Anolis sagrei: one gene and its partners. Each later gene encodes a partner of the first gene's protein in a complex. Links are inferred from orthologs where the notes say so. Each region holds a gene or a part of one and is shown in the gene's direction. Other genes may lie near its edges.

Evidence for each region.
Region 2: the proteins of NFKB1 (region 1) and thioredoxin-like are in contact, whole or in part, in an NMR structure (PDB 1MDI), measured with the Homo sapiens proteins. The link is inferred for Anolis sagrei from reciprocal best matches to the Homo sapiens genes NFKB1 and TXN. Residues at the interface, in NP_001158884.1 of Homo sapiens: Arg56, Phe57, Arg58, Tyr59, Val60, Cys61, Glu62, Gly63, Pro64; in NP_003320.2 of Homo sapiens: Thr30, Trp31, Cys32, Pro34, Met37, Ile38, Asp58, Val59, Asp60, Asp61, Gln63, Ala66, Ser67, Val71, Lys72, Pro75, Ser90, Gly91, Ala92.
Region 3: the proteins of NFKB1 (region 1) and KPNA4 are in contact, whole or in part, in a crystal structure (PDB 7LFC), measured with the Homo sapiens proteins. The link is inferred for Anolis sagrei from reciprocal best matches to the Homo sapiens genes NFKB1 and KPNA4. Residues at the interface, in NP_001158884.1 of Homo sapiens: Glu357, Glu358, Val359, Gln360, Arg361, Lys362, Arg363, Gln364, Lys365, Leu366, Met367; in NP_002259.1 of Homo sapiens: Arg96, Lys97, Leu99, Ser100, Ser101, Asp102, Arg103, Pro105, Phe133, Trp137, Thr140, Asn141, Ala143, Ser144, Gly145, Thr146, Ser147, Thr150, Gln176, Trp179, Gly182, Asn183, Gly186, Asp187, Asn219, Trp222, Val225, Asn226, Arg229, His230.

The regions. Positions count from the first base shown.
Region 1 is NC_090025.1:27,556,178-27,563,804, forward strand, and holds the start of NFKB1 (nuclear factor NF-kappa-B p105 subunit), read left to right. Parts: upstream 1-4,596; 5' UTR 4,597-4,932; intron 4,933-7,020; exon of another isoform or gene 7,021-7,036; intron 7,037-7,627.
Region 2 is NC_090022.1:206,155,140-206,162,334, forward strand, and holds the start of thioredoxin-like, read left to right. Parts: upstream 1-4,098; 5' UTR 4,099-4,134; coding exon 4,135-4,314; intron 4,315-7,195. UniProt on the Homo sapiens protein: Participates in various redox reactions through the reversible oxidation of its active center dithiol to a disulfide and catalyzes dithiol-disulfide exchange reactions.
Region 3 is NC_090023.1:246,815,189-246,823,134, reverse strand, and holds the start of KPNA4 (importin subunit alpha-3), read left to right. Parts: upstream 1-4,930; 5' UTR 4,931-5,170; coding exon 5,171-5,239; intron 5,240-7,946. UniProt on the Homo sapiens protein: Functions in nuclear protein import as an adapter protein for nuclear receptor KPNB1. Binds specifically and directly to substrates containing either a simple or bipartite NLS motif.

The DNA.
Region 1 (7,627 bases):
GAACATCCAAGTTTTTAGTCTTCTTCGGAATACCATCAGCGAGGAGACTGATCTTACCTCCATGGGAAGGGCGTTCCAGAGCCGAGGGGCCACCACAGAAAAGGCCCTGTCTCCCGTCCCCGCCAGCCGCACCTGTGAAGCAGGCGGGATAGAGAGCAAGGCCTCCCCAGAAGATCTTAGGGTCCTGGTGGGCTGATAGGCCGAGATACGTTCGGATAGGTAGGTTGGGCCAGAACCGTTTAGGGCTTTAAAGGCCAACGCCAGCACTTTGAATTGAGCCCGGTAGCAAATCGGCAGCCAGTGGAGCTGGTGCAGCAGAGGAGTTGTGTGCTCCCTGTGCTCCGCTCCTGTTAGTATCATGGCTGCCGACCGTTGGACTAATTGGAGCTTCCGAGCCGTCTTCAAAGGCAACCCCACGTAGAGAGCGTTGCAGTAGTCTAAACGGGATGTAACCAGAGCGTGGACTACCGTGGCCAAGTCAGACTTCCCAAGGTACAGGCGCAGTTGGCGCACGAGTTTTAACTGTGCGAATGCTCCCCTGGTCACCGCCGAAACCTGGGGTTCCAGGCTCAGCGATGAGTCCAGGATCACACCCAAACTGCGAACCTGCGTCTTCAGGGGGAGTGCGACCCCATCCAACACAGGCTGTAACCCTATACCCTGTTCGGCCTTGCGACTGACCAGGAGTACCTCTGTCTTGTCTGGATTCAATTTCAATTTGTTCGCCCCCATCCAGACCGTCACAGCGGCCAAGCACCGGTTCAGGACCTCGACAGCCTCCTTAGTGACAGGTGGAAAGGAGTGACAGAGTTGGACATCATCTGCGTACAAATGACATCGCACCCCGAAACTCCGGATGATCTCACCCAGCGGCTTCATGTAGATGTTGAACAACATGGGAGACAATATTGAACCCTGAGGAACCCCACAAGACAAAGGTTGTGGGGTTGAGCAGGAGTCCCCCAGTAACACCTTCTGAGACCGACCCTCGAGGAATGAGCGGAGCCACTGTAGAACAGTACCTCCAAGACCCATTCCCGCGAGGCGTCCCAGAAGGATACCGTGGTCGACGGTATCGAAGGCCGCTGAGAGGTCCAGCAGCACCAACAGGGACACACTCCCCCTGTCGAGCTCCCGGCGCAGATCATCGACTAAGGCGACCAAAGCTGTCTCGGTACCATGCCCCGGCCTGAAGCCAGACTGTGCCGGATCCAGATAATCCGTGTCTACCAAGAATGCCTGGAGTTGTGAGGCCACCACACGTTCCATTACTTTGCCCAAAAAGGGGAGATTGGAAACAGGCCGATAGTTGACGAATTGAGTGGGGTCCAGTGATGGTTTCTTCAACAGCGGTTTTATCACAGCTTGCTTTAAGCTGGCTGGAAATATGCCTTCCCGAAGGGAGGCATTAACCACCACCTTCACCCACTCGGCCAATCCCCCTCTGGCCTCCTTCAGAAGCCAGGATGGGCAGGGGTCTAGGATGCATGTGGTAGCTCTCATTCCTCCAAGCACCATGTCCACATCCTCGGACATACTTGACAGATGCAACTGTCTTTTGGGCTGCATAGGTCAACAGCAAGCTAGACTATTAATGGTAAGGAGTTCACTTTGACCCGGGCTGGATTTGAACTCATGACATTTGGTCAGTAGTGATTTAATGCAGCTGGCTATTAATTAGTTGCGCCACAGCCGGATCCCTGGAGGCTAGGACACGGAACAGTGGCTTCAAACTACAGGAAAAAGAAATTCCACCTGAACATTAGGAAGAACTTCCTAATTGTGAGAGCTGTTCAGCAGTGGAACACTCTGCCCTGGGGAGTAGTGAAGGCACCTTCTTTGGAGGCTTTTAAACAAAAGCTAGATGGGTTGTTGTAGGTTTTTTCAGGCTATATGGCCATGTTCTAGAGCAGTGTTTCTCAACCTTCCTAATGCTGCGACCCCTTAATATAGTTCTTCATGTTGTGGTGACCTCCAACCATAATTTTTTTTGTTGCTATGTCATAACTGTAATTTTGCTAGTTATGAATCATAATGTAAATATCTGATATGCAGGATGTATTTTCATTCACTGGACCTAATTTGGCACAAATATCAGATACGCCCACATTTGAATAATGATGGGGTTGGAAGGGCGCGGGGGTTGATTTTGTCATTTGGAAGTTGTAGATGCTGGGATTTATAGTTCACCTACAATCAAAGAGCATTCTGACCTCCACCAATGATGGAATTGAACCCAACTTGGCTCACAGAACTCCCATGACCAATAGAAAATACTGGAGGGGTTTGGTGGGCACTGACGTTGAGTTTTGGAGTTGTAGTTTACCTATATCCAGAGTGCACTGTGGACTCAAACAATGATGGGTCTGGACCAAATTTGGCACAATATGCCCAAATGTGAACACTGGTGGAGTTTGGGGGGAAAGACCTTGACATTTGGCGTGTTGTCATTGCTGGGATTTATAGTTCACGTACAATCAAAGAGCATTCTGAACTCCACCAATGATGGAATTGAACCCAACTTGGCACACAGAACTCCCATGACCAACAGAAAATACTGGAGGGGTTTGGTGGGCACTGACGTTGAGTTTTTGAGTTGTAGTTCATCTACATCCAGAGAGCACTGTGGACTCAAACAATGATAGATCAGGACCAAACTTGGCACGAATACTCATTATGCCCAAATGTGAACACTGGTGGAGTTTGGGGGGAAAGACCTTGACATTTGGTGTGTTGTCGTTGCTGGGATTTATAGTTCACGTACAATCAAAGAGCATTCTGAACCCCACTGACAATAGAATTGGGCCATACTTCCCACACAGAACCCTTGGCTCACAGAACTCCCATGACCAATAGAAAATACTGGAAGGGTTTGGTAGGCACTGACATTGAGTTTTGGAGTTGTAGTTTACCTATATCCAGAGTGCCCTGTGGACTTGGCACACAGAACTCCCATGATCAACAGAAAATACTGTGTTTCCTGATGGTCTTTGGCGACCCGCTTGACACGCCCTCGCGACCCCCCCAGGGGTCCCGACCCCCAGGTTGAGAAACACTGTTCTAGACGCATTCTCTCCTGACGTTTCACCTGCATCTACAGCAAGCATCCTTAGAGGTAGTGAGAAGCTAGATGGCCATCTGTCGGGGGTGCTTTGATTGTGCTTTTCCTTCATGGCAGAGTGTTGGACTTCATGGCAGAGTGTGGTCACTTCCAACTTTATTATTCTGTGTCATCATGGGAGTTGTAGCTTCACAAGCCTTCTCTGCCAAAGGGTGCTGGTGGTACCTCACCAAACTACAAATCCCAGTCCAAGTGGATCCAAAGCGAGAACGTAGAAAGCTCTTAGACTTAGATGAAGGGCAGACGACACCAAATTGGGACGGATAGCCAATAGTCCAGAGGACAGGAGCAGGATTCAAAACGATCTTGACAGATTAGAGAGATGGGCCAAAACTAACAAAATGAAGTTCAACAGTGACAAATGTAAGATACTCCACTTTGGCAGGAAAAACGAAATGCAAAGATACAGAATGGGGGACAATGCCTGGCTTGAGAGCAGTACATGTGAAAAAGATCTTGGAGTCCTCGTGGACAACAAGTTAAACATGAGCCAACAATGTGATGTGGCGGCAAAAATAGCCAATGGGATTTTGGCCTGCATCAATAGGAGCATAGTGTCTAGATCTAGGGAAGTAATGCTCCCCATGCTCTATTCTGCCTTGGTTAGACCACACCTGGAATATTGTGTCCAATTCTGGGCACCACAATTCAAGAGAGATATTGACAAGCTGGAATGTGTCCAGAGGAGGGTGACTAAAATGATCAAGGGTCTGGAGAACAAGCCCTATGAGGAGCGGCTTAAGGAGCTGGGCATGTTTAGCCTGAAGAAGAGAAGGCTGAGAGGAGACATGATAGCCATGTATAAATATGTGAGAGGAAGCCACAGGGAGGGAGCAAGCTTTTTTTCTGCTTCCTTGGAGACTAGGACGCGGAAGAATGGCTTCAAACTACAAGAGAGGAGATTCCATCTGAACACGAGTGTGAGAACCGTTCAGGAGTGGAACTCTCTGCCCTGGAGTGTGGTGGAGGCATCTTCTTTGGAAGCTTTTAAACAGTGGCTGGATGGCCATCTGTCAGGGGTGATTTGAATGCAATATTCCTGCTTCTTGGCAGAATGGGGTTGGACTGGATGGCCCATGAGGTCTCTTCCAACTCTTTGATTCTATGATTCTATGAGAGGAGATTCCATCTGAACACGAGTGTGAAAGCCGTTCAGGAGTGGAACTCTCTGCCCCGGAGTGTGGTGGAGGCTCCTTCTTTGGAAGCTTTTAAACAGAGGCTGGATGGCCATCTGTCAGGAGTGCTTTGAATGCAATATTCCTGCTTCTTGGCAGGGAGTTGGACTGGATGGCCCATGAGATCTCTTCCAACTCTTTGATTCTATAATTCTAAGGCCTGAATGAAGGAAGGCCTGAGGGAGGAGAGCAAGCACTTTTGAGGCCTTCTTTCTTTCTTTCTTTCTTTCTTTCCTTTCTGTCTTCCTTCCTTCCTTTTCTCAGCAACGTCAGTGGGAATTTCCAGCGAGGAAGTGAGAGGGCGTGGAGGGAGGAGGGGAGGCTGCGTGTTTCTTCCGCGGAGGGAGGAGGAGGAGGAGGCCGCGCTTGGCGGGAGTCGCCTGCCTGCCTCCTTCCTCTCCTCCTCTCTCCTTTCATTTCGCTTTCACACCAACGACCAAGCCCGAAGCAGCGGGGCCGGCCTGCTCCAATCTCTCCCTCACACACTCTCTCTCTCTCTCTCACTCCTCGAGGCGCCTCCTCCTCCTTCAGGCTCTTCTGGATTTGTTCTTTTTGAGCCCACCAGGACTTCTCTCCCTCTTTCCCTTCAAACCAGGACTATCCTGAGGTTCAAGAAGACCATTTCCAAGTCCTGAGGTGAGTGATGCCCAGGGAACACAACAGGCCACCTGACTGGATAGTGTTTGAATGTGATGACTTGGTGTTTCAGTATTATTTACATATTGTTATTATTATTTCCAAGTCCTGAGGTGAGTGAAGTGGAGGGAATACAACAGGCCACCTGACTGAGTTGTGTTTGAATATTATGATTTGGTGTGTCAATATTATATTGTTATTGTTATTTCCAAGTCCTGAGATTAGAGATTTTTAGCATTCTTATCTGGTGTTTTAATATTATTATTTTCTTCATCCTATTATTATTGTTGTTGTTGTTGTTGTTCCCAAGTCCTGAGATTAGTGATGTCCAGGGAATATAACAGGACACCTGACTGAGTTGTCCTTTAATATTATTTGGTGTTTTAGTATTCTTATATAGTGATTTAATTTTCATATTCTTCTTATTATTATTATTATTTCCAAGTCCTGGGGTGAGTGATGTGGAGGGAATATAACAGGACACCTGACTGAGTTGTCTTTTAATATTAGTTTTTGGTATAACAATATTATATTGTTATTGTTATTTCCAAGTCCTGAGATTAGTGATGATTTAGCATTCTTATCTGGGGTTTTAATATTATTTTCATATTATTATTATTATTATTATTATTATTATTATTACTATTGTTGCCAGGTCCTGAGATTAGTGATGATTTAGCATTCTTATCTGGTGTTTTAATATTATTTTCATATTATTATTATTATTATTATTATTATTATTATTACTATTGTTGCCAGGTCCTGAGATTAGTGATGTTTTAGCATTCTTATCTGGTGTTTTAATATTATTATTTTCTTCTTCTTATTATTATTATTACTATTGTTGCCAAGTCCTGAGATTAGTGATGTCCAGGGAATATAACAAGACACCTGATTGTGTTTTGATATTATTTGGTGTTTTAGTATTCTTTCCTGGTGTTTTAATAGTATTTTCATATTATTGTTATTATTATTGTTATTATTTCGAAGCCCTGTAGTGAGTGATGTCCAGGGAATATAACAGACCACCTGATTGTGTTTTGATATTACTTGGTGTTTTAATCATATTTTCATATTATTATTATTATTATTATTATTTCTTCCAAGTCCCGAGGTGAGTGATGCGGAGGGAATATAACAAGCCACCAGATTAAGTTGTGTTATATATTATGATTTGGTGTATTATTATTATTATTATTATTATTATTATTATTATTATTATTTCAAAGCCCCGTAGCAAGTGATGTCCAGGGAATATAGCAGGCCACCTGATTATGCTTAAATATTATTTGGTGTTTTAGTATTCTTAAATGGTGTTTTAATTTAATTTCATATTGTTATTGTTATTGCCAAGTCCTGTGGTGAGTGGTATCCAGGAAATACAACAAGCTACCTGACTGAAAAGTTTTTCAATATGATGATTTGGTGTTTCAGTATTATTTACATATTGTTATTATTATTTCCAAGTCCTGAGATCAGTGATGTCCAGGGAATATAACAGGCCACCCAATTGAGTTGTGTTTAAATATTATTTGGTGTTTTAGTATTCTTATCTGGTATTTTAATTGTATTTTCATATTATTATTATTATTATTATTATTATTATTATTATTATTTCCTAGTCCTGAGGTGGGAGGGAATATAACAAGCCACCAGATTAAGTTGTGTTTTAATATTATGATTTGGTGTATTGTTATTGGTGGCGCAGTGGGTTAAAGCACTGAGCTGCTGAGCTTGTTGATCGAAAGGTCACAGGTTCGATTCCAGGGAGCGGCGTGAGCTTCCGCTGTTAGCCCTAGCTTCTGCCAACCTAGCAGTTCGAAAACATGCAAATGTGAGTAGATCAATAGGTACCGCTCCGGCGGGAAGGTAACGGCGCTCCATGCAGTCATGCCGGCCACACGACCTTGGAGGTGTCTACGGACAACGCTGGCTCTTCGACTTAGAAATGGAGATGAGCACCACACCCCAGAGTCAGACATGACTGGACTTAATGTCAGGGGACTACCTCTACCTACCTATTATTATTATTATTATTATTATTATTATTGTTGTTGTTGTTTTGTTGTTGTTATTGTTATTATTATTATTTCCAAGTCCTGAGGTGAGTGATGTAGAGGGAATATAACAGGCCACCTGATTGAGTTGTCTTTTAATATGATTTGGTGTTTTAGTATTCTTATCTGATATTTTAATATTATTTTCGTATTGTTGTTGTTGTTGTTGTTGTTTCCAACTCCTGTAGTGAGTGATGTCCAGGGAATAGAACAGGCCACCTGATTTAGTTGTGTTTTAATATTGTGATTTGGTGTTTTAATATTATTTTCATATCATTATTATTATTTCCAAGTCCTGTGGTGAGAGATGTGGAGGGAATGTAACAGGCCACTTGATTGAGTCGTGTTTTAATATGATTTGGTGTTTTAATAGTCTTATCTGGTGCTTTAATATTATTTTCATGTTGTTGTTGTTGTTGTTGTTGCCACGACCTGTAGTGAGTGATATCCAGGGAATATAACAGGCCACCTGATTGAGTCGTGTTTTAATATGATTTGGTGTTTTAATAGTCTTATCTGGTGTATTATTATTATTATTATTATTATTATTATTATTATTTTCAAGTCCTGTGGTGAGTGATGTCCAGGGAATATAACAGGCCACCTGACTAATATAACTCATTTTATAGAGTGTGGTG
Region 2 (7,195 bases), on another chromosome or scaffold:
CTCAGGTGTTTTGGCCAACTCCCAGAAATCTCAGCCAGTTTACCAGCTGTTAGTATTTCTGGGAGTTGAAGGCCAAAACATCTGGGGACCCACCGTTTGAGAATCACGGCTCTAATGACTTTTCAACATTTTTGTTTCTGGCCTGAAAGGACTGATTGTTCATGGGAAAGGGCCTTCATTGCTGTGGTACTGTGTCTATATTTGCTTTTAATTCTATTGATTTACTTTGATTTTGACATTTATACTTATATAGATGAGCCATATCCACCTTGGGTCCTAGGACCGAGGAAAATTCAGTTTATTAACAACCTCAAAAACCACTGCCCTGAATCCATTATGAGTCGTTTTCAATTGCTATCCAAATCTAATTGATCAAATGGGCCTGCTCGCATTGGGATGAGGAATTCGATTTAGGGATAAACTTGTTATTCTTTATTCACTTAGCTGGAAGTAAACTCTGTCGAATACAATGTGTCTTAGTCATGAGCACAAAGTAGCCTAAATCAAGTGATTTTAAACTTGAAAACATATATTGCCCCCTGCCTCTGGAATTCCCTTCCGAAGGAAATCTAAATGCCCCCCTTGTTGCCCTCCTTCAAAACGCAGCTAAAAATGTTTCTGTGCACCCAAGCATACAGAGAAGCAGAGGGTTAAGGTTTTAAGAAATAGGGAACGGATTTGGAATATGGCTTTTAATACTGTATCATTTGCACTGCTCAGTGTAGTACTGTGTTGTATTGTTTAATTACGATTTTTAAATGATTGAAATCCTGTTGTGTTTTTTACATGTTTTATTAAATTATGTATGCATGTATTTATTTATTTGTTGGCATTGAATACTTGGGAGGCCCTGGTGGCACAATGGGTTAAACCCTTGTGCCAGCAGGACTGAGGCCCGATAGGTTGGAGGTTTGAATCCAGGAAGAGTGCAGATGAGCTCCCTCTGTCAGCTCCAGCTCCCCATGCAGGGACATGAGAGAAGCCTCCCACAAGGATGGTAAAACATCAAAAGATCCGGGCATCCCCTGGGCATTGCAGATGGCCAGTTCTCTCACATCAGAAGCGACTTGCAGTTTCTCAAGTAGCTTTTGACACCAAAAAAAAAAAAATGAACACTTGCCTTTTGTGACATTAGCTGTTCTGAGTCACCTATCAGGAGATGGGGTGAGATACAAATAAAGATCATTATTATTATTATTTGATACATAAGAATATTAGTACACAGCAAACAAGATTACTATGCTGGCTTTTGCATTTGATCACACATCAGACACTTCCCAATTGTCTAGGACTGTGTGATGTATCGGCAAATGATGTGTACAGATCAGAATAGGGTGGCCTTTTGCAGCTGACAGATGGTAATTCTGTCAGCTGCAAAAGTGCAGGCCAAGGTCTTTAGGCACTGCGCCAAGTGTGCCAATTACCACTGATACCAACTTTACTGGCTTGTGCCAGAGTCTTTGCAGTTCTATATTATTATTATTACTACTACTACTACTACTACTACTACACTTTTATTTATTTATTGTGTCAGAAGCAAATTGAGAATACAGTTATAATCCATATAAACTTACTTTGACCAGAAGCTGGCCACTTCAAATGCTTCCGGTGTGGCTGTAAGAAGGTCCTCCATTGTGCATGTGGCAAGGCTCAGGCCACATTGTAGTAAATGATCTGTAGTTTGCTCTTGTCCACACTCGCATGCCATAGACTCCACTCCACTCCATTTCTTAAGGTTGCCTCTGCATTTCATAGTGACAGAGCGCAGTCTGTTCAGTGCCTTCCAAGTCACCCAGTCTCGTGTGCCCAGAGGGGAGTCTCTTGTTTGGTATCAGCCATTGAGTGAGATTCCAGGTTTTTGCCTGCCACTTTTGGACTCTTGCTTGCTGAGGTGTTCCTGCAAGTATCTCTGTAGATCTTAGGAAACTATTTCTTGTTTTAAGGCATTGGCTTGCTGGTTGATATCCAAACAGATGAGAGAAGCCTCCCCGCAGGATAGTAACAGATCTGGGTGTCCCCTGGACATCTTTGTAGATGGCTGGTTCTCTTACACCAGAAGTGACTTGCAGCATTATTATACTTATCGTGCTATTTATTTATCATGTCAGAAGCAAATAGAGAATATAGTTATAATGAATAAAAAAACACAAAGTTACAAACTTGGCATTATGCTAATCATGCTGCCACTAATTGTGCTGCCAGTCATATAAAATCAATTTTAAACCTATTTTAACAGTAACTCTCAAGCAACCAGAAACTGCATTTATCTGCATCATAGGTGCCAGTTAACTTTTCTTTTTGTCTCAGGTGTGAGAGAATTGACTGTCTGCAAGGATGTTGCCCAGAGGATGCCTGGATGTTTTGATGTTTTATCATCCTTGTGGGAGGCTTCTCTCATGTCCCCACATGGGGAGCTGGAGCTGGCAGAGGGAGCTCATCCATGCTCTCTCCAGATTCAAACCTCCTACCTGTTGGTCTTCAGTCCTGCCAGCACAAGGATTTAGCCCACTGCACCACCGAGGGCTCCTGCCAGTTAACTAAGAGCCTAGTATAATAATAATAATAATAATAATATTAATAATAATAATAATATAATGTGATATATTTGTTTTTGAAGGCTTTCATGGCCAGAATCACTGGGCTGTTGTGAGTTTACCGGGCTGTATGACCATGTACCAGTAGAATTCTCCTCTGACGCTTCCCCCACATATATAGCATGTATCCTCAGAAGTTTGTTGGAAACTAGACAAGTGGAGTTTATATATCTGTGGAATGTCAAGGGTGGCAGAAAGAATTCTTGTCTTTTGGAGGCAAGTGTGTATGTTGCTTTAAATCCTGGGACCAGCTAATACCTCATAACAAAGGATTCCTCCAGTCAGGAAGCAGCCAGGCTTTGACACTGCAAGGCTATTCAATGCTAAGGAAGGAAGCCAATTGCACACTTGCCTCAAGCAGGCAAGAGTTCTTTTTCCCACAACCTCTGGGGATGCCTGCCATGGATGTGGGTGAAACGTCAGGAGAGAATGCTTCTGGAACATGGCCATATAGCCTGGAAAATTTACAGAAACCCAATGTGATATTTATTCAGAAACATGGAGGGCCACATCATTTAGATTTACAACCATCCAATCACAATCCTGTTTTCCTGCCCATCTCTGCTGCAGGAAACAAAACAAAGATCATTGTGGTGTTGTAGGGTTTTTTGGGCTATATGGCCATGATCTAGAGCAGGCATCCTCAAACTGCGGCCCTCCAGCTGTTTGGACCTCCAACTCCCAGAAGCCCTAACAAGCTTGTTCAGTTGTCAGGAATTCTGGGAGTTGAAGGCCCAAACAGCTTGAAATTTGAAGATGTCTGGTCTAGAGGCATAAACCCTTTTTCCTAGTTCCAACAGATCTCACTACCTCTGAGGATGCTTGCCATAGATGCAGGCGAAATGTCAGGAGAGATTGCCTCTAAACCATGGCCATATAGCCTGAAAAAACCTACAACAACCCAGTGATTCCGGCCATGAAAGCCTTCGACAATACAAAGATCATTGTATTTGTATGGCCATGTTCCTGAAGCATTCTCTCCTGACGTTTCACCCACATCTAGGGCAGGCACCCTCAGAGGTTGTGAGGTCTGTTGGAAACTAGGCAAGTGAGGTTTATATATCTGTGGAATGTCCAGGGCGGGAGAAAGAACTCTTGTCTGCTTGAGGCAAGTGTGCATGTTGCAGTTGGCTACCTTGATTAGCATTTAATGGCCTTGCAGCTTCAAAGCCTGGCTGCTTCCTGCCCAGGGGAATCTTTTGTTGTGAGGTGACAGCTGGCCCCACCCTTACTTCAAGCAGACAAGAGCTCTTTTTCCCACCCTGGACATTCCTCAATGCAATCCATCCACGCAGGGTTTTGCTGTCCTTGTTTCCCTGCCTCAATCAATACTGGGAAAGGATTGTATTTTCTGCATCATGCTTCCCACTCTGTCCATTTCCAAGGCTGGCCCAGAAGCCCCGCCCCTTCCAAAACAGGGAGGGGGGAGAAGGAGGTCCTGGTTTGCGCATGCGCCCCTCCACCCTGGGCTTCCCTTTCCCTTGCGCCTGCGCAGAAGCAACCTCCCTCCCAAAGAGGGGCCTCCCGTCCATATAAGAAGATGAAGGAAGGCGGCGCCAATGAGAGCCCGAAAGCAGCCACCGAGGAGTCGAAGCCGGAGCCGGAGCCTGACCCGGGACCCAGCAAAGAGCCGCCGGAGCCGCCGAAGAAGGAGTCGAAAGAGGCGAAGGAAGAGGCTGCTGCTGCTGCCGCCAAGATGGTGAAAGTCATCGGGAGCCTGGTAAGGCCCTCAGGCCTCGAGCAGGCTTCGAACGCGGCGCATCCGGGCATTTTCGGGAGGATTCCCAGCATTGGGGGAACATCGCCTTCGCCTTGTTTGCTGCAGCTGGGCGGAGTGGGCGCCTCTGGTGCAAAGGCTGGCCATTCCCATAGGGCTGAGGCAGCCTAGGGAGCATGGGCTTTGGTGTGCTGTGCTCCTGCAGCCCTGTTGCATCAGCATTGATGCCTCCCTCCCTCCCTCTCCCCTGCATGGTTTGTCTTCTGCCCATCAGGCTCCTCCTTGCCTCCACCCCAGGTTTTCTCCATTTGGAAAAAAAGCACTTCCCAGCAGTTATGCCTTTTTATTATTATTGCCACATTTAGGTTTTGATACTATTCAAGTGGGCAAGGGGCAGGTTGCCAAAACTGGGTCGTCCTCCTTAGCATTACTGATTAATGGCCCAAACTAAAATGAGATTTGAATTGCCCAAATAAAAATTTATATATTTGTATGTTTGTGTGTGTGTGTATTAATTTTGGACTCCATTTACAATTCATGCATGCATGCACTCTAATATTAGAAGAAGCAGAATTGTGTACTTTTTGGTTAGGTAGGAAACTTAGGCCCCTTCCACACAGCTGAATATAATCCCACATTATTTGCTTTGAACTGGGATATATGGCAGTGTGGACTCAGATAACCCAATTGTGGGTCATTCTGCCTTGATATTCTGGGCTATATGGCTGTGGACACACAAGTTTCAGGCATGTTTTACTAACCTGCTGAAACTCCTGGAATAAAATGATGCATCTCAAAGGGATGCCATCTCTCTGCTTTTTTTAAATGCTGAAACATGGCAACTTGAGCTCCTCAGTGCAGTTTGCTGCAAGGGAAGTATAGCTGACTTCCGTGGGATCCTATGTCTTAAGGTGGGACTTCAGTTGTTGTGTCCCTACAAGTCATTTCTGGCGTACGGCAAACAAAAAGCCACACTTTTTGCCATTGCCTTCCCCTGAAGCGGGAGATGGTGACTTGTCCAGTCAGTATCAATGGGATCCTGTTTCTACTCAGAAGTAAGCTAGAACTTCTGTTTGCTGTTTCTAAGAGCCCTTCCACTCAGTCCTATATCTCAGAATATCAAGGCAGGAAATCCCACATTATCTGAGTGTGGACTCAGATAACCCAGTTCAAAGCAGATATTGTGGGATTTTCTGCCTTGATATTCTGGGATATAGGGCTGCGTGGAAGGGCCCTGACTTATGGTCTATTACATAAACCCCACTTGCCCAGTTTCCAACAGCCCTCACAACCTCTGAGGATGCCTGCCATAGATGTGGGCAAAATGTCAGGAGGGAATGCTTCTGGAACATGGCCATACAGCCCAGAAAACACAGCAACCCCAAAAGCCACACTATCACAGGGCTTCCTTAGCAAGATGTGTTCAGAAGAGGTTTTGCCATTGCCTTCCTCTGACGCTGGGGGCCCTTCCACACAACCCCATATCCCAGAACATCAAGGCAGAACATTCCACAATACCTGCTTTGAACTGGGTTATCTGAGTCCATGCTCAGATAATGTGGGATTTTCTGCCTTGATATTCTGGGATATAGGGCTGTGTGACCCTCCGAGAGTGTGACTTGTACAGCAAGTTTCTGTGGGATCCTGTTTCTACTCACAAGTAAGCTAGGACTTCTTTTTCTAACTTATGGCCTCTAACAGGTTGTTCTTGGTAAAATTTGCATGCAAAGGGTTTGCCATTGCCTTCCCTCTGTGGCTGAGAGAGTGTGGCTGGCCCAAGGCTACCCAGGGTTTTTTTTGGCCGAGTGAGGATTCGAACCCTGGCCTCTGGAGTAATAGCCACATTGGCTATCAAGCTGGGACTTAGAAAACCATCGACCTAACGTTTAAGATTATACGCATTCACATGTTAGCCGGGACTTCCTTACAGATAAATTGGTATGAGATACTGGCCTTAAACTATCCAAACTTGTGGCATAGTTAGTCCATGTTTCAGCGGATGCATCTGCTCTGTAGAATGAATGCAGTTTGGTGCTACTTTAGCTGCCATGCCTCAATTCTATGGAATCTTGGGAGTTATAGTTTGATGACGGCTTGACTGCTCAAGAGTGTTGGTGCCTCACCCAACTCCAAAGGTCAGGATTACATAGCACTGAGCTGTGGCCCTTAAAGTGGTGTCGAATTGTATTCATTCTCCAATGTGCGTACACCCAGAGCTGGCTTTTCCCTTCGGCAACTGACTCCTTTTGGTATCAGTGTTGTAGATAGTATTTGTTTTCTTTTTCCAAATTTGTGCCCAGGTGAACTGCCTCTTGTTTTGAGTCTTCTCCTCCGCTGTTTTGCAGCAGGCTTTAATGGCTGCGCAAAGGGGTGCAGTGCCCGCCAAATGGAGTGGAGGCGGGTGGAGATCTCCGCTCTGTTGCTCTCCAATGAGAGAGGGAAAGGGGGAGGAGGGAAATGGCCGAAGAGCAGGGAAAGAAGCAGCAGCAACATTTGCAGCAAAGGAAATGAAATGATCACTGCAATAACCTGGCACACGGGCTTCCTTGCTAAGCAAGCTTCCCAGTCTCCCTTATAGACATTCCCAGCTGTCCGGGGAACCTCTCTTCCATTCGCTGGGGTTTATCAGCCTGGAATGTCTTGCTGATTACTTCCTAATGTAAAACTAGCTTTCTTTTGTTTCTGTTGTTCAGCATATAAGTCCTCGTTCCTTATTGTAAGTTCAGATGTATAGGCATTATCCACATTATGAACAAGATTTGTCTTTAAGTTGAATTTGTATTGGAACAGGTACATTGTCCAATTGTAGCTCCAGACAAAAATATATATGTTTTTGCTTTGGATCACATAGGGAAGAGTGAATACCCCCATGATGTTTGTGTGT
Region 3 (7,946 bases), on another chromosome or scaffold:
ATTTTGGGCTAGGTGGCAAATGGTTACACAGCTATTTTCCGAAATGGGGACCTCCACTTGTTGGATGTTGTGTTCATCAACAGCATAGTGTCACCTTGGAATTGGAGCTGTTTGCACTGAAGTCCGACCACATTTGAACTGACGATGCCAGTTCTTAACTTCATCATATGATGGGGAATCATCACCATAAACCTCTTTCATCTCTTTGAACATCTCTTTTGGTGTGCGGCCTTTTAAGTAAAGGAACTTGATGACTGCTCTGTATTCCACTGGGTCGATTATCAACCTCACACCATTTCAGCACCTGTAAAATCAAGACTGTTATCAGTTCTGAGTTGTAAACTGCACGTAACCTATAGAGACTTATATCATTACACACGTGCAGTTTCAGCATCCTGTGATAAATAGAAGTGGGTTAGGGCACATCTTTAATGAACGCCCCGTAGGACTGGAGTGTTGGAGCTCATCTATTCACCCATCTTTTCAAGAGCTGAAATATATATTACTAATAGTTCATCTTTTCTTCTAAAGATGGCAGTCCAGATTAACATAGGTAGCACTAGCTTAACATTGCTTTTCCTTTGAGGCAAAATTTATGACCTCAATGATCTTTCAAGAAACAGTATGAACAACTATTCTCCAATCCATTAAGTAGGTGTTTATACATACCTGCAATTTAAAATTTACTAATATACAATAATATTATAATGCAATAGAATACGAATAATAAAACAGTATTATGATCATACAAGAGGCTGCCAATAATTCTTTGGCTTTACCCAGAAACTAAATAGGAAGATGAAATTTTACATTTATTCCACATACTCTCCACTGATATCAACACACTTCTTACATCGGTATTCCAAGTTCTGTAAGCCTTGCAAAAAGAAGGATTTTGGTTGTGCCTCAAACCAGTCATCCGTAGCAGCCATGGCATCAGAAATGGTGTGAAATTTGGTACCCTGGATGTGTTTCTTCAGGTTTGGAAACAGATGATAGTCAGAGGGAGCTAGATCCGGTGAATCAGGTGGGTGGTCAACCAGCTGGAAGCCAAGCTCCACCAGTTTTGCCATGGTCTCTTGTGCAGTGTGAGCAGAGGCATTGTCTTGCAGGAACAAGATTCCTTTCAACAGCTTGCCTCGCCTTTTGGCCTGCAGAGCTGCCTTCAACTGGTCCAAAAGTTCAATGTAATACCTTGCATTGATGGTGGAACCATTTTGAAGGTAGTCCACTAGCAGCACGCCCTCCTTATCCCAGAACACAGACACCATCACTTTTGTGACTGATTTTTGCACCCTGAACTTCTTTGGACGTGGAGAACCACTGTGCCTACACTCTTTTGACTGCTCCTTGGTTTCAGGGTCATACAAATAAATCCAGGTCTCATCCATAGTGACTAGTTGATCCAGGAAGTTCTCATCAGTCCTGAAACGCTGACAAATGGACCGAGAAGTTTTCACTCGCATGTTTTTCTGATCTGTTGTCAAACATTTTGGGACCCACATTGCAGATAGCTTCTTCATGTTCAAATGTTCATGGATAATGACACAAACACGTTCACGAGAAATCCCCATGATGTCTGCTATTCCTTTAGCTGAAATTAGCCGATTCTCCAGTATGAGGTTGTGAACAGCATCGACAATCGCTGGAACAACAACCACTCTCGGTCGTCCAGGACGTTTCTCATCATTGGTGCTGACGTGGCCAGTTTTAAATTTGGCAACCCAGTTCTTAACTGTAGAATATGAAGGGCATTGATCCCCCAATGTCTGCAGCATATCACCATGAATATCCTTTGCTGACTTTCCTTGCAGAAACAAGAATTTTATCACTTCTCTGCTCTCATTTGCTGTTAATATCACCTTAGACTCCGCCATTTTGTTTTCCTGCATGCCTACATCACTGTTGCATTAAGCTACAAACACAAAATTTTGAAAACATGTATTAGACACATAAGGCTTTCATGTGATGTAACATTTGTTACCATAGAAACAAAAAGAAGAAGACAAAGCCAAAGACTTATCAGCAGCCCCCCGTATATTATCAGTAGTATTATACTGTATTATTAGTATGGAATGGACTTATGAAACTTCGAACGCTGAACTCAGGATTAACCAACTACTGTGTTATTGTATTAATGTGTATTGATATTTTTAAACTCTTAATTTGTAATTGTTTGATTTGTTTATATATGTATGTATGTGTGATAAAGGCATCGAATTGTGCCTTCCTCTGTAAGCCGCCCTGAGTCCCCCCCCCCGGGGGTGAGAAGGGCGGGGTAAAAGTGACGGAAATAATAATAATAATAATAATAATAGTAGCAACATATTGCATTACATGATTTTTAATATTACATGTATATATTATTATATATTATTAACACAGCACAATATTAGTATTATATATTATTACATTGTACTATATATACTACTATACTTTGTATACCAGGCCTGAGCAAACTTGGGCCCTGCAGATATTTTGCAATTGCAACTCCCACAATTTCTAACAGCCTACAGGAATTGTTAGGAATTACCATGTCTCAATGCAAAAGAATCTGTAGAGTTGTAATTTAGTGAGATACCAAAATAATTTGGCAGAAATGGCTAAATACCTCGTTAAATTACAATTCCCAGAATATTTATTTATTTACGACATTAATATGCCGGCCTTCTCACCCCAATGGGAACTTAGAGAGGCTTACAAGATATAATATACATACAATATATTATATTATTAGCATAGAACAATATCAGTATTATATATTACTATATTGTACTATACCGTTATATCGTAATATTATTAGTAATATAAAATATACAATTATGATATCATATTATTAGTATTATCTTGTATTACATTATACTATTAGAATCATAGCATCATAGAGTTGAAAGAAACCTCAAGGGCCATCCAGTCCAACCCCCTGCCAAGAAGCAGGAATACTGCATTCAAAGCACCCCTGACAGATGGCCATCCAGCCTCTGTTTAAAAACCTCCAAAGAAGGAGCCTCCACCACACTCCAGGGCAGAGAGTTCCACTGCTGAACAACTCTTACAGTCAAGAAGTCCTTCCTAATGTTCAGATGGAATCTCCTCTCTTGTAGTTTGAAGCCATTGTTCCTAGTCTCCAGGGAAGCAGAAAACAAGCTTGCTCCCTCCTTCCTATGACTCCCTCTCACATATTTACACATGGCCATCATATCTCCCCTCAGCCTTCTCTTCTTCAGGCTAAACATACCAACTCCTTAAGCCACTCCTCATCATAGGGCTTGTTCTCCAGACGCTTGATCATTTTATTTGCTTGTCAACATCTCTCTTCAATTGTGGTGCCCAGAATTGGACACAATATTGCAGGTGTGGTCTAAACAAGGCACAATAGAGGAGTAGCATTACTTCCCTAGATCTAGACACTATACTCCTATTGATGCAGGTCAAAATCCGATTGGCTTTTTTTGCCGCCACATCACATTGTTGGTTCATGTTTAACTTGTTGTCCATGAGGACTCCAAGATCTTTTTCACACATTGTTGTTGTTGTTGTTCATTCGTTCAGTCATCTGTCTCCGACTCTTTGTGACCTCATGGACCAGCCCACGCCAGAGCTCCCTGTCGGCCGTCACCACCCCCAGCTCCTTCAAGGTCAGTCTAGTCACTTCAAGGATGCCATCCATCCTTCTTGCCCTTGGTCGGCCCCTCTTCCTTTTGCCTTCCACTTTCCCCAGCATAATTGTCTTCTCTAGGCTTTGCTGTCTCCTCATGATGCGGCCAAAGTACTTCAACTTTGTCTTTAGTATCCTTCCCTCCAGTGAGCAGCCGGGCTTTATTTCCTGGAGGATGGACTGGTTGGATCTTCTCGCAGTCCAAGGCACTCTCAGCACTTTCCTCCAACACCACAGCTCAAAAGCATCGATCTTCCTTCGCTCAGCCTTCCCTAAGGTCCAGCTCTCACATCCGTAGGTTACTACAGGGAATACCATGGCTTTGACTAGGCGGATCTTTGTTGCCAGTCTGATGTCTCTGCTCTTTACGATTTTATCGAGACTGGACATTGATCTCCTCCCAAGAAGTAAGCGTCTCCTGATTTCCTGGCTGCACTCTGCATCTGCAGTAATCTTTGCGCCTAGAAATACAAAGTCTGTCACGGCCTCCACATTTTCTCCCTCTATTTTCCAGTTGTGAATCATTCTTGTTGCCATAATCTTGGTTTTTTTTGTTTCGCTGCAACCCAGCTTTTGCGCTTTCTTCTTTCACCTTGATTGTTAATATAGATTGAGTTTATTACTCATTGATTGTTTTGTAATATTGATAAGCTGAGCCAAGTCTACCAGGACTTCGTGAATAAATACCCTGTTTAATGTTTCTTGAAGTGGACTCAGTTATTCAAGAAAGCTCAATCTGCCCAAAAAAAGACCCCAGCAGTTTCGCCCAGACATAGATAGCAGCACGTCAAAGTTTTATTTTAAAGCGTCTGGGCGTAACGGCACATGCATATACAATATATTTTATTACACTATATTATAACATTAGCATAGCACAGGAGACAAGAATACCATAGCATTAATTCTATAGTGTAGAACACCCTACCGGAATTGTGGGAGTTGAAGTCCAAAACACCTGGAGGGCCCAAGTTAGCTCATGCCTGAGGTACACTATACTAAACTGTACGTATCCCACCTTCCTGAGAGTAGGTGTTGGACAAGGCCGGCCTTCCTTCCTAAACGAGACGGGAGCGCAGCTTTCGAGGAGGTCTCCTTGGCGACTGGCCCAAAATGGCGGCCCAGGCCTATCGCCTGAGACGGGCTGAAGAGGAAGTCCCTTTAGGCCCCGCCCCCTCTCGGCTCACGCGCACCTCTCCCTCCCTTCGCCCCTCTCCATCACGGAGCGCTGCCCAATCAGAGCGCGCTGTGGGCGGGAAGAGGCGGGGCTAAGGGGCAAGGGGGCGTGGCTAGGGGCGCCTGACTGCGCGCGAGGCTGGGCCGCTGCTTCCCTTCCTTCCTTCCCTTCCTTCCTTCCTTCCTCTCTCTCGCTCTACCGGCACCAGAGGCGGAAGAGGCGAAGATAGGCCTCAAGGCCTCCTCAAGGCCCCTTCGAAGCAAGGCGACGACAGAGAAGGAGAAGCGGGGGCCCGGCCGGGGAGGGAGGAAGGCCTCGCTCCCTACCTTCCTGCCGCCATGGCCGACAACGAAAAGGCGGACAACCAACGGCTGAAGAACTTCAAGAACAAAGGCCGCGACCTGGAGGTAGAGTAGCGCCGCTCTCTCCTGAGGGAAGGAGGGAAGGAGGGGGTTAAGAGAGAGGGCTTGGCTTGCTTGCTTGGTGAGGGCCTGTGGCTTTATAATCCGCGGCGGGGCCTGGTTTCCCTCACCCGCCGGCCGGCCTCGTCCTTCTTCCTCCTCCTCCGCCGCCAGAGGGAGGGTGGGGCCCGCTGGGATTCGCCTGCGAGGCCGCGGCCTAGGCCTCCGCGCGCAGTGACGACGCCGCCGCTTTCCTGCTTCCCTTTTTCATATCTCTTCGAATCGCCTTGTGATTCATAATATCAGAGAGAGCAGGCTTGGGCAAACTTCGGCCCCCGAGAGTGTTTTGGACTTCAACTCCCACCATTCCTAACAGCCTCAGGACCTTTCCTTTTCCCTCTCAGCCGCTTATGAGTCCAAAACACTCTGAGGGCCGAAGTTTGCCCAGACCTGAGATAATAATAGTAATTATAATTATATAAATAAAAATGTAACGTTCATAGAATCAGAGTTCGAAGAGAACTCATGGGCCATCCAGTCCAACCCCATTCTGCCAAGAAAGAAATTCTACCTAAATTTTAGAAATAACTTCGTGATTATGAGAGCTGTTCAACAGGGAAACAGGCTGCTTTGGAGAGCAATGGACTTTTCATCTTCAGGTGTCTTTAAGCAGAGGTGGTATGGCCATCTTTTAGGCACACTATAGTTATGTATTCTTGCACAGCAGTGAGTTGCACTGGCATAGCCCTTGTGGTCCCTTCCAATTGTAAGATCCTATGATTTAATTATTCCAAATAGAAAGAGTCCACCACTTTCTGAGGCAATCTATTTCACTGCTTAACGGTTCTTATAGTAGAAACTACTTATAGACTCAAAGAGTTGGAAAAGACCTCATGGGCCATCCAGTCCAACCCCATTCTGCTAAGAAGCAGGAATATTGCATTCAAAGCACCCCTGACAGATGGCCATCCAGCCTCTGTTTAAAAGCTTCCAAAGAAGGAGCCTCCACCACACTCTGGGGCAGAGAGTTCCACTGCTGAACGGCTCTCACAGACAGGAAGTTCTTCCTCATGTTCAGATGGAATCTCCTTTCTTGTAGTTTGAAGCCATTGTTCCGCATCCTAGTCTCCAAGGAAGCAGAAAACAAGCTTGCTCCCTCCTCCCTGTGGCTTCCTCTCACATATTTATACATGGCTATCATATCCCCTCTCAGCCTTCTCTTCTTCATGCGAAACATGCCCAACTCCTTAAGCCACTCCTCATAGGCTTGTTCTCCAGACCCTTGATCATTTTAGTCTCCCTCCTCTGGACACATTCCAGCTTGTCAATATCTCTCTTGAGTTGTGGTGCCCAGAATTGGACACAATATTCCAGCCGCTCCTCATACTGCTCTCGAGCCAGGCATCGTCCCCCCATTCGTTTGTGGGATTAACAGATCAACTCCCACCATTCCTAACAGCCTCAGGCCCTTTCCTTTTCCCTCTCAGTCGCTTATGAGTCCAAAACACTCTGAGGGCCGAAGTTTGCCCAGACCTGAGATAATAATAATAATAATCTATATAAATAAAAATGTAACGTTCATAGAATCATAGAATCAAAGAGTTGGAAGAGACCTCATGGGCCATCCAGTCCAACCCCATTTTGCCAAGAAGCAGGAATATTGCATTCAAATCACCCTTGACAGATGGCCATCCAGCCTCTGTTTAAAAGCTTCCAAAGAAGGAGCCTCCACCACACTCCGCAGCAGAGAGTTCCACTGCTGAACGGCTCTCACAGTCAGGAAGTTAGGTTCTTGTGGGTTTTTTCGGGCCATAGAGCCATGTTCTAGAGGCATTTCTCCTGACGTTTCGCCTACATCTATGGCAAGCATCCTCAGAGGTAGTGAGGATGCTTGCCATAGATGCAGGCGAAACGTCAGGAGAAATGCCTCTAGAACATGGCTCTATAGCCCGAAAAAACCCACAAGAACCTAGTGATTCCAGCCATGAAAGCCTTCGACAATACATAGTCAGGAAGTTCTTCCTCATGTTCAGACGGAATCTCCTTTCTTGTAGTTTGAAGCCATTGTTCCGCGTCCTAGTCTCCAGGGAAGCAATAAACAAGCTTGCTCCCTCCTCCTTATGACTTCCTCTCACATATTTATACATGGCTATCATATCTCCACCCCCCCACCCACCCCCGGTGGCGCAGTGGGTTAAAGCACTGAGCTGCTGAGCTTGTTGACCAAAAAGTTGCAGGTTCGATTCCAGGGAGCGGCGTGAACTCTTGCTGTTAGCTTCAGCTTCTGCCAACCTAGCAGTTCGAAAACATGCAAATGTGGGTAGATAAATAGGTACCGCTCCAGCGGGAAGGTAACGGTGCTCCATGCGGTCATGCTGGCCACATGACCTTGGAGGTGTCTATGGACAACGCTGGCTCTTCGGCTTAGAAATGGAGATGAGCACCACACCCCAGAGTCAGACAACATTTACCTTTTTATCATATCTCCCCCTCAGCCTTCTCTTGTTCAGGCTAAACATGCCCAACTCCTTAAGCCGCTCCCCATAGGGCTTGTTCTCCAGACCCTTGATCATTTTAGTCTCCCTCCTCTGGACACATTCCAGCTTGTCAATATCTCTCTTGAGTTGTGGCGTCCAGAATTGGACACAATATTCCAGGTGTGGTCTAACCAAAGCGGAATAGAGGGGTAGCATGACTTCCCTAGATCTAGACA